Linked DNA regions of Lonchura striata. The protein of the gene in region 2 binds, or shares a complex with, the protein of the main gene of each other region. Links are inferred from orthologs where the notes say so. Each region holds a gene or a part of one and is shown on either strand. Other genes may lie near its edges.

Region 1 (10,510 bases), on a different chromosome or scaffold from region 2:
TCTGGAGCAACATGATCTTAACCTTACCCTAAAAATGGCTTTTATGATGCCAAGAGGAAAAAAACTCCTGTTACTTTCATTTGTAGGGTCACTGGGTTTTTCCATCTCTGATGGAAAAAAATTCTTCTCTAATGAGAAGTAGGTTTTTTATGAGTTGCCTGAAGATATTTTTTCATTCATTGATGGAAAAAGCATATTACAATGACAAAGCTTTGGAGAGCAATCATCAAAGGGCAAAGAAGTGGTACAGAAGATCCTGAAAAGCATGGAGAGCTTAAGTTCGTAGCATAGAAGAGGTGCAGTGTTCTGTTTGTACATGGTGTGCCTTGCCCAAAGTGGTTCCATTTGGTTTGTAGTAAAGCCAGAGAGAGGAAGACTAGATGAATGTCAGGATCTCTGGTGGGAGGTTTGGCCTGGTGAGAAGGGGGAGTAGACCTGGAACCCAAGTTGTGCTCCTTCAAGAGCAGTGGACATTGGAAAGTTAGAGAAGAAATGGTGCATTAATAGAGAGGCTATTTGGGTTCTGGGGTGCAGTGAAACATCTGGCACCTGCAGGACAGAGCTCAAGGTTTACTGAGCTTGAAGCTTCCTCTGGACCATCTGGTTTAAGAGCTGCTGATGGACCCATCCTTCAGGAATTAACATAAGCCATTTGCATCTTAGCCAAATCCTCTGAAATCTATGGGCAGTTGGCTTCATCGTGTTATCTATTTGTTAAAAAAGGAAACAAAACTGTAAATCCTTCTTCATCCTCATGTTCTATATTTGCTTCCTGACTTTTGTAAGGACTCATCTCTCCTCCTGCTGTTTCCTGTTCTGCAGCTGTGTTTGGCACATTCTGTAATTGTAACAATCCTATCAAAGAGGGTTAAAAACACAGAATCAATTTGTAACTTTTATTTTACAAGTGGTGCCCTCCAGGCCACTGGTGCTCCTTACATTTGCTTGGGCTGTGACCGAAAAGTGACATTGTGAAAGTTTTCATCCACATTAAAACGAAAATGTGCACAGTCTGCCAATTGGGGCATAGTGCAAGCTAACAAAAGGTTTCATGCAGATAAATTTTGATCAGTTACTCTCCCCTGTACTTTTATAATCCTCCTAGGCCATCTTTTACAGCATCTTTTACTGTAACCTTGGATTTTTAATTTTTTTTTTTAACTCTTGTTGGCTTGGTTTGAATTAGATGGCATTCACCTTCAAGATTAATTCAGCTTCAGGATAATCTATTTCATTTCTAAGTTTTAGAACAGCTGTTCTCAGCACATGGCCATCACTTCATCACAACTATCTGTGATTCCTGGAGCCTTGGATCAGTGCTAAGACAAAGCAATTATTCCACTCTGCAGGCTAAAACCAACCCAAATACAAATGGAAGTTCCACCAAAGTCTTTTATTGTAGCCCTTACACAGCCAAGCTGCCCTCCAGAGCGGTGGACTGAGAATCCTGTTCATTTCACAAGATCCTTCACGTATTTCCAGCCTTCCACTGTGTATTCACAGGCCCTGGTGGGAGCTACAGACAAGGCAGACATGACTCTGTGCACCCCTGCAAGCAAAGCAGAGAAGAATTACCCCAAGATCATCATTCAAGCCAAATTTCCCGATTTCCAACACCACCACTGTAAATCTCTTTAAACCCTGAGCATTTGTGACACAGAAATTCCAACTTCAGGGTCTGTACATGAGCTAAGACAATTACAGGACTGAGCTCAGTTCTTTGTTTAAGTCCTGTTTTATTTCTGGCCTTGCCACAGTTACAGTTCTGGACATGTCACAGTCATTTGTGGATTGTGTTTCCCCACAATTACATAAAGATTCTTTGCTACACCATAAAACCTGTGTATTACTAGGTATTTATAACAGGCTTTGGCATTCAAGCAAAAATGCCTAAAATTATAATAGCAATGGGAATGCTCATCCTTTCTGAAAAGCCAAAGACTGAGCTCAGAATCAGGTAGTGAGCAGTTATTTTACCTTTATTCCAGTAAGCAGAGAGGGAAAAGTCAATTTTTGGAGTGGGTGGGAGCTAGGAAAAAGAGAGAGAAAATATCAGCACTTGAGGGGTTTCACTTGGAATTCACATCACCTTGGCAAAACCTCTTGACCTCAGATCTCAAAAATACTTGTGTGCCTACTCTCCATAAGCCTCAAAAGTGACCAGACATGATGCTTAAAGTCTGGGCTTTGCTCTTTCCTGCAATATAAAGTAGGTGCAAAAGATAGAACATGTTATTTAGGTGCTCCTGAAAAATCATCTACTTGGGTGTCTCTGTTAGTTTATAATTGTTTGTAATATGAAGAATCTTTTCAAACTTTAAGCAAAGGTTTCTTATTTTCTGAGGATTTTAAAAACTAAGAGCTACTCATAGAGGAGGGGCCTCTTCAAGCAATTTAAATTCAACTTGAATTGTTAGCAATGTGAAAAAATGGGAGGATAATATTTTCATTGTTTTTCTTAAAAACAAGTAGGATCCTTCAGAAGAAAACTACATAGTGAAATACCTCCCAGAGCATGTTTGCAATTCCCCCCCTTGACCCTGCATAGGCTGCTTACCCCTCTCCTTTGAAATAACATCTGTGAGCAATGTCTCTGCCCCAAATTTAGCATTTTATTTGCCTTCCATTTCAATCCTCTTCAAAATATTTGCAATGTGAAATCCAGTTTCAGCAGTAAAACTCCTACCAGGCTCACCAGAATCAGAATATCACCCCTATATTTTCTCTTCCTGATTCAGAGATGTTTGTGTTGCAGGGATCACCCGAGCAGCCCTTACCTCCCAGCCCAGGTAATCTGTCCACTCTTGGATAGTTGGAGGCAGCGTTTCTTGAGCTTTTCTGAGTGCTTCAGCACCTTCTATGCCACTGCCCAGCAGCCCCTGGTCATGTGCTACGTACACAGCAGCTCCAGCCAGGCCTCCTTTGATCAGAAACCTGAAAGAATTGGAAGCAGAACAGTTCAGTTCATGTTCTGACCATCAGTGCATCTCTTTCAGTGGTTGTGACTGCCAAAGAGGGTATCAGGAAAGAAATCTCATGTCTTACTGGAGGTAAAAATCAGCAGAAAAATACCTACCTATGTTCCTTGCCTTCCCAGGACAACTACTGCCTGTCAGCCCCTTGAAACTACTTCTAATTCACATTTTATCAGTGTTGGTTTTCAATATAAAAATAAGAAAGTGTCAAGTTCCTCAAGAACATGTGCCACTTTTTAAAGCCTGAGAATCACTGGCATATTCCTCTGCTGAAAGCAATTAAAGAATTCTGCAGTGGGCGAGCCATCCATGTTAATAATGTGGTTCTTCTTGATAAATCTGATATTTATCTAATAAATCTGACAGATACCAAGATCTTATTATGCTCAGTGAACACCTGGCCATGGTGTTTGCATTGCCAAGGCTTTTAAAGTTTCCTGCATGATGTGCAGTTACCAGTTTTACTGCTGTGATGGCAACCTACAAAAGGGAAGACGGGAAGAGAGTATTTGGCATTTATTGGCATTTCCATTCTAAATAAGAGATCGGAGGTAAGTGACTTTCTCAGATACACAGAGGAATGTTTTCCCTTTAAAAAAAACAGCCAAAGTTATTGTACAACCCAAAACTTGGCAGACAGCGGTACTGCAGTAGTAGGACAGATACAATAGAGCTGACAAGAGCGAACCAATTTTTAAAGTCGTGTATTCACACGCATTTCGGGGAAAAGCGATCTTTCTGCTAAAAGGCACTGTTGGCTCCCAAGGATACCCTTCCGCACTTCCTGTGGGTGTACGAGCAGCTCCGAGCCCCGCGCTACTCCCGGGTTTTGTTACGCGTCCATGTCCGCCCACAGGGAGCTGCAGGGCCCTCCCGGCGTGTACGAACACACACGGGGAGCTGCGGGGGCAGGCGAGGCCAAGGGCGTGCAGCGAAGCCAGCAGAGCCACGGACAGGGCCGGCCGCGGGCCTGGGGACGGGCCGGGGACAGCGGTGAGCACTGAGGCGCGGGGAGCACGGGGGGAACGCCGTGCGGAGGGTGCGGGGGGGCCGAGCCGAGCCGGGCCGGGCCGGGCCGGGCCGGGAGGGTGGGCAGGGCCCGCGGGACTCACTTGACAACGGGCAGCAGGCGGGCGGCCATGGCGGCGGCGGCACCGGGACCGTCACGTGCGCGCGCGGCCCCGCCCGCGCCGCCGGCGTCAGGGGCGTGAGGGGACGGGCAGGGCTGAGGGCGTGAGGGGAGTGAGGGGAGTGAGGGGACGGGCAGGGCTGAGGGCGTGAGGGGACGGGCAGGGCTGAGGTTGTGAGGGGCGTGAGGGGACGGGCAGGGCTGAGGGGCGTGAGGGGAGTGAGGGGACGGGCAGGGCTGAGGGCGTGAGGGGACGGGCAGGGCTGAGGGGCGTGAGGGGAGTGAGGGGCGTGAGGGGACGGGCAGGGCGTGAGGGCGTGAGGGGACGGGCAGGGCTGAGGTTGTGAGGGGCGTGAGGGGACGGGCAGGGCTGAGGGGCGGGAGGGGAGTGAGGGGCGTGAGGGGACGGGCAGGGCTGAGGGCGAGAGGGGAGTGAGGGGACGGCAGGGCTGAGGGCGAGAGGGGAGTGGCAGGACTAAGGGCGTGAGGGGCGTGAGGGGACGGGCAGGACTTGAGGGGTGTGAGGGGCGTGAGGGGCGTGTGGGGTGTGAGGGGCCGGGCAGGGCTGAGGGCGTGAGGGGACGGGCAAGACTTGAGGGGTGTGAGGGGCCGGGCAGGGCTGAGGGGCGTGAGGGGACGGGCAGGGCTGAGGGCGGGAGGGGACGGGCAGGGCTGAGGGGCGTGAGGGGAGTGAGGGGACGGGCAGGGCTGAGGGCGAGAGGGGAGTGAGGGGACGGGCAGGGCTGAGGGGCGTGAGGGGAGTGAGGGGACGGGCAGGGCTGAGGGGCGTGTGGGGTGTGAGGGGCCGGGCAGGGCTGAGGGCGTGAGGGGACGGGCAAGACTTGAGGGGTGTGAGGGGGCCGGGCAGGGCAGAGGGTGTGAGGGGCCGGGCGCGGCTCCTGCGCCTTTGTGGCGCTGTCCCCGCCGCCCGTCTTGTCGCGCTGTGTCGCAGCGCGGTGGCGGAGCAGCTCAGCCCGCTGCTCCTCTTAGCCAGACAAGGCTCCGTCCTGTGGGCGCTGCCGCCGCCTCCCTCCCGAGATCCGGCTGCTTTGGGGTCACTGCTGCCAGATGTCATCAGTCTTTAATGAATTAAGAGTTCTCTAAGATTAGCCACTAAGATCGGGGGGGTTTCTCTCCTGTGGTCTGGCGGTGTGTGGAGGCTGGCTCTGAATGCAGAGCGCTGCGGGAATTGCCGGTGAAAGATCCTTCCCGGGGGAGAGACCCTTCAGGCGGGCTTTGGTTCTACAAAACCCTTTACGTGCCTCTCCCAGGGCGGCTCCAGGAATCAGAGGAAGGAGAACACAGTATTATTTTGGCTGAAGTGCTCAGCTTCAAGACTTCACTTTGTTCCTCACAGCTTGGAGGGATATGAAGCCAATTGGAAAAGTGCTTTGTGCTACAGGGGCTGTAGCTAGGCTCATAGCTTTCTTCTGGAAAGATGACTTCAACCCAGGAAGGCTCACCAAGCTGAAATAAAAGTTACACAAGGGAAGAGGTTTAATTTCCAAAATTTGACTGATGGTCTCATTCCTACCCGTAGTCTTACTAAAGTTGGTTGCCCCAAAGCAATGTTTCATTCCCAGAAACAAAGAGAAACTTGAAACAAAGAGATACTTGAAACAAAGAGGAAGACAAAATGGTCTAAGAGCAAGGATCCTGTTGTCTCTGTGGGGGGAAAATGACACTTTGCTACTGCCTTGCTCTTTTTATGTTTTGGTTGTAAATTCCTTGGTGTCAAGAACCATTTCTGTAGGTGTGCAGTGCCTGGCACAAGAGGGCTGATGTGTCTCCAGACTGATGAGTAAATGATATGCAGAGAGCACATAGCCTGGTTTATGTTGTACAGCTTCTCAGAAGGTGAAAAACAACTTGGTTCTTGAAAGATTTTGTTCTAGCAACCCAGGCTAGGCCCTGTGACACAGCTAGCTGGCATCATCATGTCATTGCATCACCAGTCCTGCCTCTTCTAGTTTTGGAGAAGCACCAGGAATTTTGAGCAATTAGGTGGGTGCATCTTTCTTCTTTAAAGCTCTGCTAGTATTTAAGGCAGCTCGTCTGCTCTTTCTTCACTTACTTCTGTATCTTTTATTCTCTTTCCCATAAAAAAGAGAGCCTGTCTGGTGCCTGTGTTCTCATAACTGGAGCCAGTGCTGGGATTGGAGAGCAGATAGCATATCATTATGCCAGATTTGGGGCTGAAATTGTGTTGACTGACATAAGGGAAGCTGTGCTGCAGAAGGTAAGAACCTCATCCTTGTATGGGGGAAGACATGAGAGATTCGGGCTTTTACTAAGCCAACAAAAAAATTCGTTGTCAGCATGATAGATTTTCCTTCAGAACTGTTAAGCATAAACCCAGAAGAGAAGTTGGCCTGTACAAGAAGATGCAAATACAGTGCCTGAGCTTTTAACTGCCTGAACATTTATTTATATGAGGGGATGGTGTGAAGCTGCATCAGGGAAAGTTCAGGCTGGACATTAGGAAAATGTTCTCCACTATGAGGGTGATCACTCCCTGTTCCCCAGGGAGCAGTGGTCATGGCACCAAGCCTGTCAGAGTTCAAGGAATATCTGAGCCACATCCGTAATGATAAAGTTTGGTTTGAGGGAATCCTGTGAGGAGCAGGAATTTGGATTTGATGATCCTTATGGGTCCTTTTCGATTTGAGATACTCCATGAACTACAATTCTTGTGCAATATTTTCCAGATTTTCAGAGTCCAAATTGTTCTATTTGTAGCTGTTTTGTTAAAAACTCAAGACTTTTTATAGGTTAAATGCTTTTTGACTAACTCCAACAGATGAGATTCCATCTTTATGAAATGGAAAATATTTAGAAAGGTTAACTCTTTAATTGTGGAGATGTGTGACTTCCAAGGAAGGATCTTCACTGTGAAATGGTGCAAAAGGTGACTTGGGGACAGTGAGTGTAATAATAGTTCCTAATGACTGGAAGGCATTATTTCAGCAAATAGCTAAAATAATGCCAGGCACATTCACACACTCAACATAGCAAAGGAATTATGAAACATGAATTCTTTTCCAGTTATTCTGGAAAAAAGAGAAGAACTTAATGTAAAGCATAACTCTTGTTCCAGAAGATTTCTCCTGAAGAAGATTGGGGTTTTTTTCAGTGAATCTTGATCCTGTCCCAAAGTAGATCGTTTAAGCAGACAGTTAAATAGAGGCAACTCCTTGCAGGATGCAGATTCAAAGTCTGGATGCAGAATGAGCTCTCCATGCCCCAAACAGCAGTAAATTTTAAATTAAAGTGTGTCTCTGTCCAGAACTAACTCTCACTGACTGTAGTATGTGCTTTATGGTGCCCTTTTCCCCTAATCTTTTTCCAAATATTTTAATCTTTGGGATGTGTTCTTTTTCAAGGTAGTGGAGAAATGCCTGACACTTGGAGCAAAGAAAATATTTTATATCGCTGCAGATATGTCTTTCCCTTCAGAGCCTGAAAAGATGGTTCAGTTTGCTGTCCAAAAGCTGGGTAAGCATCCTGAGCATCTCTTTGGCTTTCAGGTGTAAGCACAATTCTCATTCTAGGAGCTTCCTGCTTCAGTTCCTTCAACTGAGAAAGGTGTTAAGGTTGTAGATGTACCACCAGAACTAAGTTCTGAGCCTGAATCATGCTGAAACATCATTTCAGGGAGTTATTGTTAAAATCAGTTTTCCTTTCAGTTCTATTCCTGAGGAGCAGTCAAAGCTGCTCCCAGTTGGGCATATTTAATCTGTCTTCATGGTAAAGCACTTCCAGCCTTCTGAGGGAGTGGTTGAGCCCTCCTGGCATTTCTGAGCTCCCCGATTGATGGTCAGGGGATGGGCCCCTTGTGTGACTGTGTGACTGCTTTTTCTGCTGTCCAAGGGGGCCTGGACTACCTCGTGTTGAACCACGCCAGCACCAACTGCTTCCAGGAGTGGGCTGGAGATGTGGAATACACCTGCTGGCTCATGCCGGTGAGGCTGCCCAGCTCACCTGGAACTGGGTGAGCCTGGCTTTTCCTGCAGCAGCTTTGGGAAGCTCCAAGGCAAATCCACATCTGTGGCAGTGGTTGAGACAAGCAGTTTGGAGGCTTTGTTGCTAGAGAGGTGTTTTGCTCAGATGTTGTACATTTGTGAAGAGGAATGTTCGGGAAGAACTTCAGACTTCTTCCTTCTGTCCTTCTTACCTCCCTTTAGCCGAGTTTGGGATTGATGGGTAGTTCCAGGCAGTTGTGTTTAGTTCAGGAAGGTCTCTAAGTCAGCAGCCAGCATTTCCTACTAGTCTATGGCATGTACACAATTGCAGAACACAAAGTTGTTTGAAATGGTGTCTGCCATTTGAGTCTCTGTTAACAGATTTAGAGTTTTCCTGTAGAATCACTCTGGTGCCAGGTTTTGGGGCCATGGAAATGAAGAGCTGTTTTCTTGATTCAGTCTTCTTCATTCAGGTGGGTCATACTAGTTTCTATTTCATTTTGGAAGGAGTCTTTTTGCTAGAGTGTGGGAACATAGGAACATAGGTAAGAAATTCTTGAGAGCAGTCAAGCTCTGAAGAGATGCTGAATTTTGTGCCTCATTGTAGTCTGAGCTCAGTCAAGAGAAGCTTACAAGGAAACTTACAAGAAACGTAGCAAACTGAAAGTGGTGTCTTTGGTAGGGATTGCAGAGCAAAGAATAGCATAAAGAAAAAGCAGGGACAGCTAATTTTATCTTGTCAGGAAATCTGCATGTTAAAGCCCAGGCATAACCTTTGCTCTGGATCTTCTTCTGGAATCTGAAAGACTCATGGATGCAATGCTTGTCCCCATCTATAGAGATGATTTTTCTCATTTGATGTTTGAGAAGGCAATTCCAAACCATGCTCATTTCCATTTCTGATCACTCTACTGACTTGCTTGGCTCACGCTTCCAAACCCTCTTGCTTCTTTATAATAAATGTCTACATTTATTATTCCAGGTGAATTTTTTTAGTTACGTGGCTCTTGCAACAGCAGCTCTTCCCACCCTGGAGAAGAACAGAGGTGCTCTGGTGGTTGTTTCTTCCCTCACAGGTTGGTGATTTTGCCTGGAGTAAGTAGAAAATATTACTTGGCCTTGTGGAAAAAATTATTCCCAGTACTGTTCATATTTCTCTATTGTTCAACTCCTAAATACATTTTCAAACTGTGCTTTTAATAGTATATAATAATATTATAATAAATAATAATATAGTAATAGTATTCTAATATACTTACATAAAGGGAGACTCACCTGAACAGAACATGAGCTGATACTGTATGACAAAGCCTGCATCTTCTCCCAGATTCCCTCACCATGGATCCTCCTTACACCCAGTTTCCTGGGGTTTTCCATTCTTTCTTTTCCCTTTCCAGGGAAAATGCCCACTCCATTCACCACTTACTCTGCCACCAAGTTTGCACTGGATGGATTTTTCAGTTCACTGTGCCATGAGCTCATCATGCAGAAGAAAGATGTGTCTGTCACACTGTGCATCCTGGGCCTGATTGATACTGAGTCAGCATTGGAGTGCACCAGGTATGTGTTTCTCCGCAGGAATGCATCTCTTCTAGAAAACATGCCAAAGTATGCACAGCAGCTCTCTCCAAGAGGGTGTGTGCATCTGCCTGGGGAGGGTGAACCTGCCTGGGCACACCACAGGGGTTGTTCATTATGGAACGGGAGCAGGCAGAGCCCTGTGGGGTCAGCGTGCCCAGCTCGAACCCCAGCAGGGGCTGCCTGGCTTGGAGCGACCCTGTGCCCGTTGCCTTGCAGGGGCAAAGTGCAGCTCAGAGCCTCCCCGCTCCTCGCCATCGTCCGGGGCGGGGCCACCCGGGCGCACGAGATTTTCTACCCGCGGTGGCTGCAGCAGCTCCGCTGCCTCTGGGCTCTGTTCCCCAGCAGCGGGAACAGCGTGCTACGGACTTTCTATAACTGCAGCAGTCCCTGAGGGGTGCCCGGTCTCATCCTACAGCCCTTCTAATCACATTCCTGCCGTCCCACTAAGCACCCCACTCAACCACTGGTGTCAAGCAGGAGCAGGGCAGCAGTGGTGGCAAAGTCCCCTTTTCCTAACAGACTCATGGTCTGTAATCATGCTTCAGCCATGGTTCTGCTGCTGCTACCCATCAGTCAGAGACCTTTCCCGCTGTTCACTCTGCCTTAGCCCTCCTCCCATCTCCCCTCCTCCTTCAGCCTCACCAGTCTCCTTTGACTGCATCCAGCCTTTGCTCAGCCCCAGCTTTAACCCCTCCCTGTCTGTCTGCACAGGATGTCCTGGAATAGCTGTACATTCCAGGGACATCCTCCTCCACTACTTCATTTTAGATTCCCCTTGCTTCCTCTAAGTAGAATTTTTATCTCTATTTTATATTAAACAAGTTTTTAATGTGTTGGTGATATGTGTTGATGCTTCCTCTGTG
Region 2 (10,812 bases):
GGATTAGAAAGCCACAGAGAAATCTGCCCTCAGATCTGCAGCCTTGTTCAAAGCAGGGCAGAACACATTAATGTGACTGGATGGGTTAGCAATTTTCCAGTACTTTAACTCTTGATGATTTATGCATCTGCTGTGGATGGAAATAATCCAATATCCTCCAGAGATAATTCCTGGAACCAGACATACAATTTACCTGTTTCATATTCCCATTTTCTGTAAAAATGGATTGATCCCTCAGGCTTTTCAGTTCATGAAATTGCCACTCTTGATGTTCAGTGAAGTTGCTCCTATTTGTAAAACCCAGTTTCTGGGCCTGTGTAATATTCTGCATTGTTACATGCAGAGAAGAGCGAGAACCTATTTGATCACACTTGAGCAATGTGACATTTTTCTCATCTATACAAGAGCCAAAGCAAGCTAAAGTGTTGTTTTTTGGTGTGCCAGCACCATATTGTACTAATTCACGAGTCTGAGGAGATAGTTTCAAATGCTATATTCTATAGAAGCAGTTAAAATTTGGCTCTGTCAGGCTGTGCCCCACTGCCCTGTGCCCCCTTGGTTCCTGCACCATGAGCTGTAATCATGCCAGCCATGGCCCTTGTCCAGAGGGAGTGGGGGGTAGGCATCAATGGTGTCACATGAGAAGCAGTGGGGGATAGCAGTGTGTTAAACAGATCAGGGATCATTAGGGGACACCTCTAAATGACTGCTTTGGTCAGTGATTGTGAGAGACCTATCCTAGAGTTTCCTAAATGCACTTCAGGACTAAGCTTGTGTAAGGTTGCTGTTGCTCCTCTTGGCACATGCTCCTAGAAAGAAGCAATAGTGGGAGGTACCAGATATGGGGTTTAATTAAAATGAGGCAAAGGAATGCAAAGGTGCAAACCCAGCCTGAACAAATGCCATGGTACCACAGAGCAAGGAATGGCAGAAGGACTTCCTGACCAATGATTTCTGCACAAAAATGAGATTTTGTTCCAAAAAGGGTATTTTGCTTCCAGAAGGAATGTGTACCTTTAACTGAAAATTATTTGGTAGACCTAGAAATTAGTTTAGGTAAATAATGTACTACATTTAATATGCATGCATATTTATGAAGATATGAAAATCAATACATTTACAGGCAAATGAGGTAAAGCTATTCACATCACCTTACTAAGAAATTAGGGATTCCTGTGAAAATATTTTTTTAAGGTAAAAAAAATTCATGTACATAATATATACAGACTGGCAATAGATGCAGGACCTTTCATCTGGCTTGAGCTGATTTCCAGAATGTATCCTGTTCAACTGAAATCTGAGGTGTATTTTAATTTTGAAAGGAGTTGGGTTTTGTTCTGATGAGTATTTACGGGCATCAAAAAGCTGTTTGTGTTCCTAGTGCTACTGGTAGCCTGTTACCTGGGCTTTACTAGACAATCCACACATTTCTGGTGGTGGTATCAACAACCTGTTGATAGAATGACAGAAGAATTACTCACTGTGGCTGGAAGGAGTAGCTGAAAAATGTGGAACCAGAGCTACTGGTGGCTGCAGCAAGAAGCCAAGGATTTGAATTAGGGAAGGGACATTAGGGTTTTTAACCATGGTATATCAAAAGTTAAATAGATGCAGTTGAATTATACTGAGGTTTTTGCATTATGTATGTCTCTCTTCTACCTGCCCCTTGTCTTATTTTATAGAATCTTTATTTGGAAAGCACAGAGTGTATTCTGAATGCTGTCAAAATGTGAGAAAGCTGGTGAGACAACAGGTGCTGAAGTTCGTCCTGGTTTACCTCAGATGTGAATGCAGTAAAGACTTTGCTGCAATTAAAGGTAGGTCAGTGAGAACACAAATAGCTCTGCAATGGCATCTGTTCTCAACACCCAATTTACTTTCTGAATGTGTGACTTTGCTTCCAATAAAGGGCCTTTGACAAAGGTCGAAAAACGACCAACCTTAGCTATTAAAAGAAAAAGCACAGGGTAAGTTTCACTCTAAATAAGATGGTATTAAATAAAAAACCTGTTCAATTTCTGCTTGTTTTTGTTTTTTGTTTAGGAAGTAAATAAAGTAGAAAGGATGAAGGGGTATTCTTATGGACATGCAAACTACTCCCCTTTACAAAGGTTTTGTGAAAAGTGTCATCATGCACACAATAAAAGGCAGTTCAACTAGCTGCCTAACAAATATGTGCTAAAAGTGACAGGAACCTGAGAAATGGATCAGTGCTTTTCAGACCCGCCCAGCAAAGCTGTGTGCCCCCTCCCAGCACTGGGTGAAGCTGTTAGCAACTGAAGGTTGCATTTACTGGAGCCCTTGTTTTTGTGTATTCCCAATTAACTACATGTTTTCAAAGAACTTGAAGAGAGATCTGCCAAACAGCATTATTTCCACTTACAACACAAACAAAAAGCTCTAAGAGGCAGAAGAGCGGTTTATTTTATAAGGACATCAAAACCCAATTCTGAACAGGCTGGCAAAACTGTAGTGACAAGTCATGGTACTTTTAAAAATCACTTGTTTTAATGAGAAAAGGTGCATGGAAGAACATGGGGGGGGGAGGGTGCTGAGGTTGTTTGTTTTAATACACAGAAGAATTATGAAGGAGAACATCAAACCAGCCTTCCAGAATTCTAATGTTTTCTAGTAATCAGTGTGAGTAGGTATTTGATGGACAGATGTTACACATTCATATTTTAAACATTGGAAAGCAACAAATCAATTTTTCTCTACAATTATACATGTATGGCAAAGAACTGAAATTATATTAGTAGTAAAGGAATGATTTTATTTTTCTGACCAAAAAAATAAACTGTAAACAAGCAATCTAATACAACATTATGAAAGTTCAGACCATAATAACTAAGGCATTGGATTAGAGATCTAATTTCTTAAATTGTATTTCTGCCTGTGATGACATAGTTTATGAAGTGTGGCAACATTTTCAAGCTTCTCTAAGCTGCAGTTTTCTGAAGGAAATGTGTCTTTCACAAGTGTTTACAAAAGCCAATTTTCTAAAAATACTGGCATGCAAAATCAAACTGAAATTTGCTAGAGGTCCTTACATTAGAAACAGCCAGGAGTCAATCATGCCAAACCTCTTTATTCTGTGGCCTCAGCAGCAGAAACTTCCATTCCTTTTTAAGCCTGTCTGACAGTGTTCTGGACCGTGCATAATCCATTATGCCATATATTATCCTTGTCCCAGGGAAATTTGGCAGGGACAACTTCTCCAGTATAAGAGAGGACTACACCTACATGAAAGCAAAGCTATTTTTATTGTTCTCTACAAAGGTTTTCCCATTTATTTTATTCTGTCTACCAATAGTTTTAAAGATTAATATCCACATTACCGAAAAAAGTGCACTGAAGATACCTGAGCTAATAAAATTATTTGAATTAATTTTTTTTAAAACAACCATCTATTCTTCAGACACTTATATCTGTTTTACATAATTGTATTAATAATTTCTATACAGCCACTGCATATAAATTGACAACAAAAATATGTATTTGTAACATTTACACATTTTATGTCCAGAAAGAATTGGAATGTTCTTTACTGTTCATGTACCAAACTTAAAAAGAAATATTCTTATGTCTGCCTCCTGCAAAAATTGAGAAAAATTGAGGAACAGTTGATCCTACCCATGGCATGGGAGTTAGCTTTGGTTGAAAACTAACCAGAGCAGGTGCCACTATTCACCTTGATGTCATCACTCCTCTTGTGGCCTCACTTGTAATTTTGAGCTTTGAACATTTTCTTTCTCAAACTCTTTGAGAATTACTATTAAAATGCATCAAAAAATGCAACTGCTTTGCAAACTACACCATCACTCCACATCCTGACAAAACCTCCACAAAATGCTACCAATCAGTCTTCTATAAACATTCGCCTCGCTCTGGCTGCTTATATTCTGTAAACGATTGTACAAAGCACGGTGCAATGGAGAAAAAGGACAATTGGTGTTCCTCACTCATTGGTCACTTGGGTGCATTTTAGGTTTAACTTTTCTGTGCTAAAATATTTATAATGAAATCAAATAAAATACCAGTATTGTCTGTGGGTACTGGAGCTCATCTTGTACCATTTGTTCATGGTATTTCTGCTGTCCTGTTAATTTGCTGTTAAGGAGCATTGCTCAGTTCTGCAATGTAGTGGTTAAACTGCTTATGTTAGGTCTATAAAGAATCTGCAGTAAAGAAATGTAGGAATTTTAAGAGAGAACAACAATTACCATCACAAAGAAGATCGTGCAAGAGTGCATACCTTGTACTGTTCCTGATGAAGTGTTTGCTACCTATTCTTCAGGTGATTCACCTTTTGCATTAAAATTCTAACATTTTCCAAGACTAACATGGTGCTATTCATAGTCTAAAATCAGTGTTAGCTTTTTTCAAGAAACTGTGTTTGTTGAACATCTCCAGGGATGCTGACTCTACCACCTCTCTGGGCAGCCTGTTCCAAGTCCATTTTCTCATATTCATCTCCCACTGAGTTACAAGTCAGTCACTGTGGGTTGTAAACAACAGCCTCTCTTGCTGCAGATGTGAGCAGAAAAAACTTGCACCTGTCCAACTCACCTAAGTGAGCTGGGAGATGCCACAGGGGATGCAGAGACCAGAAATGTAAAAATACTGAGAAAAGGGTGCTTGATTTTTTTGTTTGTTTTTAATATCGTGAGATAGAAAGGCACAGAACCCTACCCATGCACTAGCCCCATTGTGCTGGTTTTGGCTGGGGTAGAGTTAATTCTCTTCACAGTGGAGGGTATGGGGCTGTGTATTGGATGAGTGCTGAACCCAGGGTTGATCATACAGAGATGTTTTTGTTATTGCTGAGCAGGGCTTACACAGAGCCAAGGCCTTTTCTGATTTTTGTACAGCCATGCTGGCGAGGGGCTGGGAGTGCATGGGAGTAGACGCAGCTGGGATAGGTGATCCCAGCTGATGAAAGGGATATTCTGTCTCCAACACATGAGTAACAAAAACATCTCTGTATGATCAACCCTATGTTCAGCACTCATCCAATACACAGCCCCTTACCAGCCACTGTGAAGAGAATTAACTCTACCCCAAACTAAATCATGCTCACCGATGTGAATTATTCTGGCAGTGAGCCAGGAGGACACTGATGTGGCAAGTGTATTTCTCTCCCTCTCAGGATTTTTCATAGAGGTGCACAGAGAGCAGTTAGAGAGAAACCAATTTCTGCTCTTTGTTTTCCTGTGTGGAATGTGTTTGGAGAATTGTTTACCTGAAGTGAGTGCTTGATTGGATTCTGGCGAGGATTGTTTGAGCCTGATGTCCGATCAATCCACCTGTGTCTGCACTCTAAAGAGAGGGTTAGGAGTTGTGAGAATTAAGAGAAGGTAGTATATAGTTTTAGTATCTTCCTTTATCTAGTATGTTAACGTATTTTAGCATAGTTATAATAAAGAAATCATTCAGCCTTCTGAATTGAGTCAGACATCGTCACTTCTTCCGATTGGGTTGGCCGGCATTTGCAATGCAGGGGAGCCGGTGAAGGGCGTGGGGAGTCCTGCGGGGAGCGGCTGAGGGAGCGGTGTGTGTCCGGCCGGCTGAGGGGGCCCCGGCACTGCCCGCTCCAGCGCGGCTCTGCGGCCGGCGGCAGGACGAGGACACAGACCTGAGCCGCGCCGGAGAGCCTTTAGTGGGACTCAGCAAGAATTTCTTCACAGAAAGGGTGAGCAGACATTGGAATGGACTGCTGGCGGAGTCACCGACCCTGGAGAGGTTTAAGGAAAGGCTGGACGTGGCGCTCAGTGCCATTAGCTTTTCTCAAGAAACTGCGTTTCTTGAAGACGTCCGGGGATGGTGACTCCACCAGCCTGGTGGTGCCGTGGTCTAGCTGACGTGGGTTTGGTAACAGGCTGGATTCGACGCTCTCAGAGGTCTTTTCCAACCTCATTGATTCCTGTGACTGATTCTGTGAACGGCCGAGCCTTCCTCACAAAGGTTGCAGGGCAGCACAGGGAGCCGTGCGGCGGGGCTGAGGATCAGCGTGCAAGCGCTTTGCTCCCACAGGAGCCGTGCGGCGGGGCTGAGGATCAGCGTGCAAGCGCTTTGCTCCCACAGGAGCTGGGCCGTGCAAGCGCTTGGCTCCCACAGGAGCCGTGCAGCCCAGCGTGTAAGCGCTTTGCTCCCACAGGAGCTGGGCCGTGTAAGCGCTTTGCCCCCACAGGAGCCGTGCAGCCCAGCGTGTAAGCGCTTTGCTCCCACAGGAGCTGGGCCGTGTAAGCGCTTTGCTCCCACAGGAGCTGGGCCGTGTAAGCGCTTTGCTCCCACAGGAGCCGTGCCGCGGGGCTGAGGATCACCGTGCAAGCGCTTTGCTCCCACAGGAGCTGGGCCGTGCAAGCGCTTTGCCCCCACAGGAGCCGTGCAGCCCAGCATGTAAGCGCTTTGCTCCCACAGGAGCTGGGCCGTGTAAGCGCTTGGCTCCCACAGGAGCCGTGCCGCGGGGCTGAGGATCAGCGTGCAAGCGCTTTGCTCCCACAGGAGCCCGCCAAGGCCGGAGCCCCTCCGCCGCCCGGGCGGCGGCGGCAGCGCGCGGGGCCGCCCCGTGACGTCACGCCGCGGTGACGCCGTCGCCCCGTCGCCGCGCGCCCGGCGCCGCCATGTTCAAGGTGAGGAGGGGTCCCCGGCCGGGCCCGCCGCCGGCCGCGCTCGGGGCTCCGCGCTCCGCCCGCGCCCTCTGCCTCTCTCCTCTCCGCCGCTCTCACTGCCGCTGTCCTCGCAGCTGCTTAGCCGCTCCTCTTAGCGCTTCGGAACCGCGTGCCCTCGCGTTGCACGGAGAGGGGCACACTCCCGATTTACAGCCGCTGCCGGGTGCCCCCCGCGCAGATTCGTCCCTTCCGTACGGGGCTGCCCGCACCGCGGGGCTCTGTCACCGCTCGGTTCGGGCCCGGGCAGCTGTCGCTTGAAAGCGTCGGTTCGATCTTGAAAAGTTTCCTTTTAGTGCCTGAAGGTTGCCAGCGAAACCTGCGGAAAGCCCCGTCCGGCTCTGGCTGTCTCAGAGATTTCTGCCTGTGGTTAGAGCAGCCCCAGATCCCATCAGGCTAAAAGCAACTCTGTGCCAGTCAGATCGTTGTTAGGCTGCTTGCTTAAAAAAAACACCAAACCACCAAAACCTGGTGATGCTCGCTTCTTGGTATTCATTTTCCTTGGTACCATTTTCTGTGTGAAATATTGATAATATATCTAGATACCAGTATACCGAGGATACTAAATAGTAATATATAACATCTCAACATGAGGAAGAACTTCTTTATGTTGAGGGTGGCAGAGCACTGGAACAGCTGCCCAGGTCGTGGAGTCTCTCTGGAGGCATCCAAAGCCCACCTACCAGCACATGTTCCTGTGTCACCTGCTCCAGGTGACCCTGCCTTGGCAGGGGGTTGCGCTAGATGATCTCCAGAGGTCCCTTCCAACCCTGACAATTCCGGAGTCTGTGATACTGATGTGCTGAGCCCTTGCTTGCTCTGCTCTTGTCATAAATTCCTTTTTCTTTATGTCCTTTAATGCTGGAATTCTGTGCACAGAATCATTGAGGATTCCATAATTGATGCTGAATTGTCATTGGAGGGTTGATATGTGAGCCTGTGCATTTAGGCACTATCTGTATTAGTGTATTAGTACTTTTACATAGCCAGTGAGGATTTATGTCCTTCAGGCCAACCTGATGTTATGCCTCTAAGAGCCAAAGGGAAGGTAGCTTTTTGTCCAGGATACTTTTGCTTCAGGGACAGGAATGTTCAAGAATTTGGATTTTGGTTTGATGTTTTTATGGTTTGGGCTGAGAAATAGGAGGAAGAATAGAAAAAGATGAGGAAAACTGTTTTCATACTTTAGGACCAGTATCAGCCTTCTCAAAAGTATGCTCAAGCTTTTCCTATCAAGTCCTAAAGATAAAATTGAATTCTTAGCTAGAGAGGAGTAAATGTATCTTTTTTGCTTAAAATAACTGCAGAGCATTGCCAATAGAAAAGAATGTCAGCTCTGCTTTTCTGATACTGAGTGGCTATAGGACTGGCAGGCTGAAGGCACAGCTCAATCAGTCCAAATGTTTTACTAAAGCAATTGTTTTGGTAATATATGGTTAGTATGGAAATCAAAAATGAGATCCTACAGGGCATTTTGGAAACAAGTACAGCAGCTGATCTTTCATACTCCCAAGTAGTTCTGTGTATGCAAATATGCAGTATTTCAGCAGTAGTTCTGCCTGTCCCATGAGGTAGCTGATGTAGGAGACCATTGAAGTATGATTTGAACAGCACATTTAAGAAGAGATTCAACTTGCACTTTCAGAGGTTAGTTTCATTTTGTTAAAAATTAAAAACAATGGAAAATGTCTGCACTTCAGTATCTTGATAATATAAACAGTTAACTTTTCAGTCTGAGTAGTCCTATGTCACTGATACTGTTTTGTGAAACCCAGGTGCTTCCAGTCTTGTGCTGTGCTATTTGTGTCTTTATATAAAAATCTCAAATATCTAAAACATTTGGTTTTACTGTTTATACTTGTGACACTTAGCACCATTTACACTGTTTGAAAACATATTACAAAGAGAAAATGCATTTAGATTTTTGCCTTTTCAGTGACATAACAGTTTTGCAGTGAAAAAATGAAAGATTGAGGAAATAAACTCTACGGCTATTAATGGTTAGTAGTGTTTGTTTTTGTCCTGGCTAACAGAAGTATGTGAAAAGTGTTTAAGGAAACACTATTAAAGATTATCCTTGTCTTTCCTTGGCTTTGAAACAGCTGATCCAGTCATTGTGGTGTTTCATTTATAGTGATTTAGTAATGAGTCCATAAATTCAGACAAGGAAAAACTTCAATTTTAAGCAAGTTTTTCCATACCTTTTGACCCACCAGATCCCTTACATCTTCCAAAAAACAATCATGTGACCTAGTTCTTGTGTGCTGTTTCTCTACACTTAAATGAACATTTTCAGGAAGTTTCATAACTGTGAAGTCTAATTTTTAGTTTGAGGAGTCTATTGGTTACATTTAATAAGCATTCCATCTGCAAAGCAGTGGAAGAAATTTAAGCTGCAAATGCTTGACTGCCTACAATAAGCTGATGTGGTGTGGATAATTTTAAAGCTATTTTCTAACAGTTCTGTGAGAGACAGAGCAGTTGTGCCGTGGCTGGGCCAGTCACCACCATCACAGTGTGAAGGAGGGATGGTTTGACCACGGCTTCAGTGTCACAAGCAGCTAGGTCAATGCAACAGACCCCGCTATTTGTTGAAAGGAAGAGGCCTTGCTGCCTTCTCCTTTCTCATCCCCTGTCCCCTGGACCATACAGTTCCTCTGGTGCTTGTCAGGCTGTTTCATGGAAGGGTTCAATTTGCTAAGCCCGCACAAAGCTCTCCGCTTCTCTTTCAGGATTAATCTTTTGCCAAATTGGCCAGGTGAATTGCCTCCCGGTGGAAGCATCCGGCCACCAAAGCTAGGGCAAGGTGAGCAGCAGGACTTCTGGGAGCCAGTGCTGGAGAGGAGCCAGACGCCTCCAGTTTGGTGTTAGATCCACTCGTGCTGTAACCTGATCCAGCAAAACACAGGCTGTTGTAACTCTGCACATTTCCATTAATAAAGATGTGCATTTGCTGGAAAATGCTCTCTGAGCATTCTTAATTTACTGTGCAGCTAAGATTTTTTTCTTCTGTTTAAGTTGAAGCAGACTTTCCCTTTAAGAAATTCAGTTTAGCATAGGTCCTGAATACTGGAAGAATTATATCCACCTTACTAGTGGTGGTTGCATGATTGGATTGAATTTATTCAAAAAAACAGTCAAGTAATTAATGTTTCTTACAAAAAGTAGGAGACATTCCTAAAATTCTTGGAAATAATTGATTTTGTTCTGGTATTTATAGCTGTAGGTCTACTTGTTTTCCTAAATCTATATGCAGATATTAAGTAGAAGTAAAACACTGAACTTCTTGGTACTACTATGGAAAAATGGAGGTATTATGAGCATTCACAAAGTTGTTTAAAATATGAGTATAATCTTTGATAAAGAATATAATACATTCTTTGAGAAAGAATATAATCTTTGAATGAGAAAGTTAATACAAAAATTACTTAAAACAAGATCTTTTTTATGAGATGAAAACTAATGAGATTAGCCTTTATTTCTACTGCCTCATTTAGCCTTAGGCATTTTCAAATACTATCTGAGTGATTTAGATGTTACTGTACTACATCAGTGCCTGAGAGCATTAGATTGTGTACTGCTGACCCTCCTTTCTCCTAATTTCCAAGCATCTATTGAGATCACTTTTTACCAAGTAGAGGGACATAAACATTGCCTGGGTGTGTTCAGACACGCTGCAGTTTTGTTTGCACATAATGATGTACCTGTCCTCCGGTAATGTTTCCAGGTAATTCGGCTGGGGGCCACCCCTGTCAGCCTGAGCTTGCTCTCTGTCCAGGTTTTTGCTGCTTCTTCAGAGAAGACTTCCAAAAAGGAGTTGCTGAAAATTGAGGAGGTAAGTGTGGTTATAGCCTTGGTGCTCTTCTAGTTAAAGAATTCTGAAAACATTGTGTTTTGATGTGTGAAAGCATTTAGGTACATCTTATCACCTTTTGTATTCATGCCTTTAAATTTGCTTCTCAATTTTCCTCAACAGAGACTTCTATACAGTTTTGCTTTTACCTGGGCATGGCATTTGATGTTCTTGATAGGGCCAAGCTTGCTTGTGTGTAAGATCTTTTTTCTACATTAAAGTCGTCTATTCTTCATTCAGAAGTTACATTTTCATGTTTGTAGATTTACTTACGGTTATATTTCAAATCCA

Evidence for each region.
Region 1: APOO (region 2) and MICOS13 share a complex: the UniProt entries of both Homo sapiens proteins name them as parts of the mitochondrial contact site and cristae organizing system (MICOS) complex. The link is inferred for Lonchura striata from reciprocal best matches to the Homo sapiens genes APOO and MICOS13.

Annotation. Positions count from the first base shown.
Region 1 is NC_134630.1:4,052,531-4,063,040, forward strand, and holds MICOS13 (MICOS complex subunit MIC13), read right to left. Parts: upstream 4,182-10,510; 5' UTR 4,117-4,181; coding exon 4,088-4,116; intron 2,935-4,087; coding exon 2,778-2,934; intron 2,030-2,777; coding exon 1,978-2,029; intron 1,550-1,977; coding exon 1,452-1,549; 3' UTR 883-1,451; downstream 1-882. Other genes in the region: HSD11B1L (hydroxysteroid 11-beta-dehydrogenase 1-like protein), read left to right, coding at 5,473-5,561, 6,217-6,343, 7,488-7,599, 7,975-8,066, 9,049-9,142, 9,464-9,626, 9,864-10,038. UniProt on the Homo sapiens protein: Component of the MICOS complex, a large protein complex of the mitochondrial inner membrane that plays crucial roles in the maintenance of crista junctions, inner membrane architecture, and formation of contact sites to the outer membrane.
Region 2 is NC_134604.1:103,814,553-103,825,364, reverse strand, and holds the start of APOO (MICOS complex subunit MIC26), read left to right. Parts: upstream 1-6,583; 5' UTR 6,584-6,623; coding exon 6,624-6,632; intron 6,633-10,395; coding exon 10,396-10,503; intron 10,504-10,812. UniProt on the Homo sapiens protein: Component of the MICOS complex, a large protein complex of the mitochondrial inner membrane that plays crucial roles in the maintenance of crista junctions, inner membrane architecture, and formation of contact sites to the outer membrane.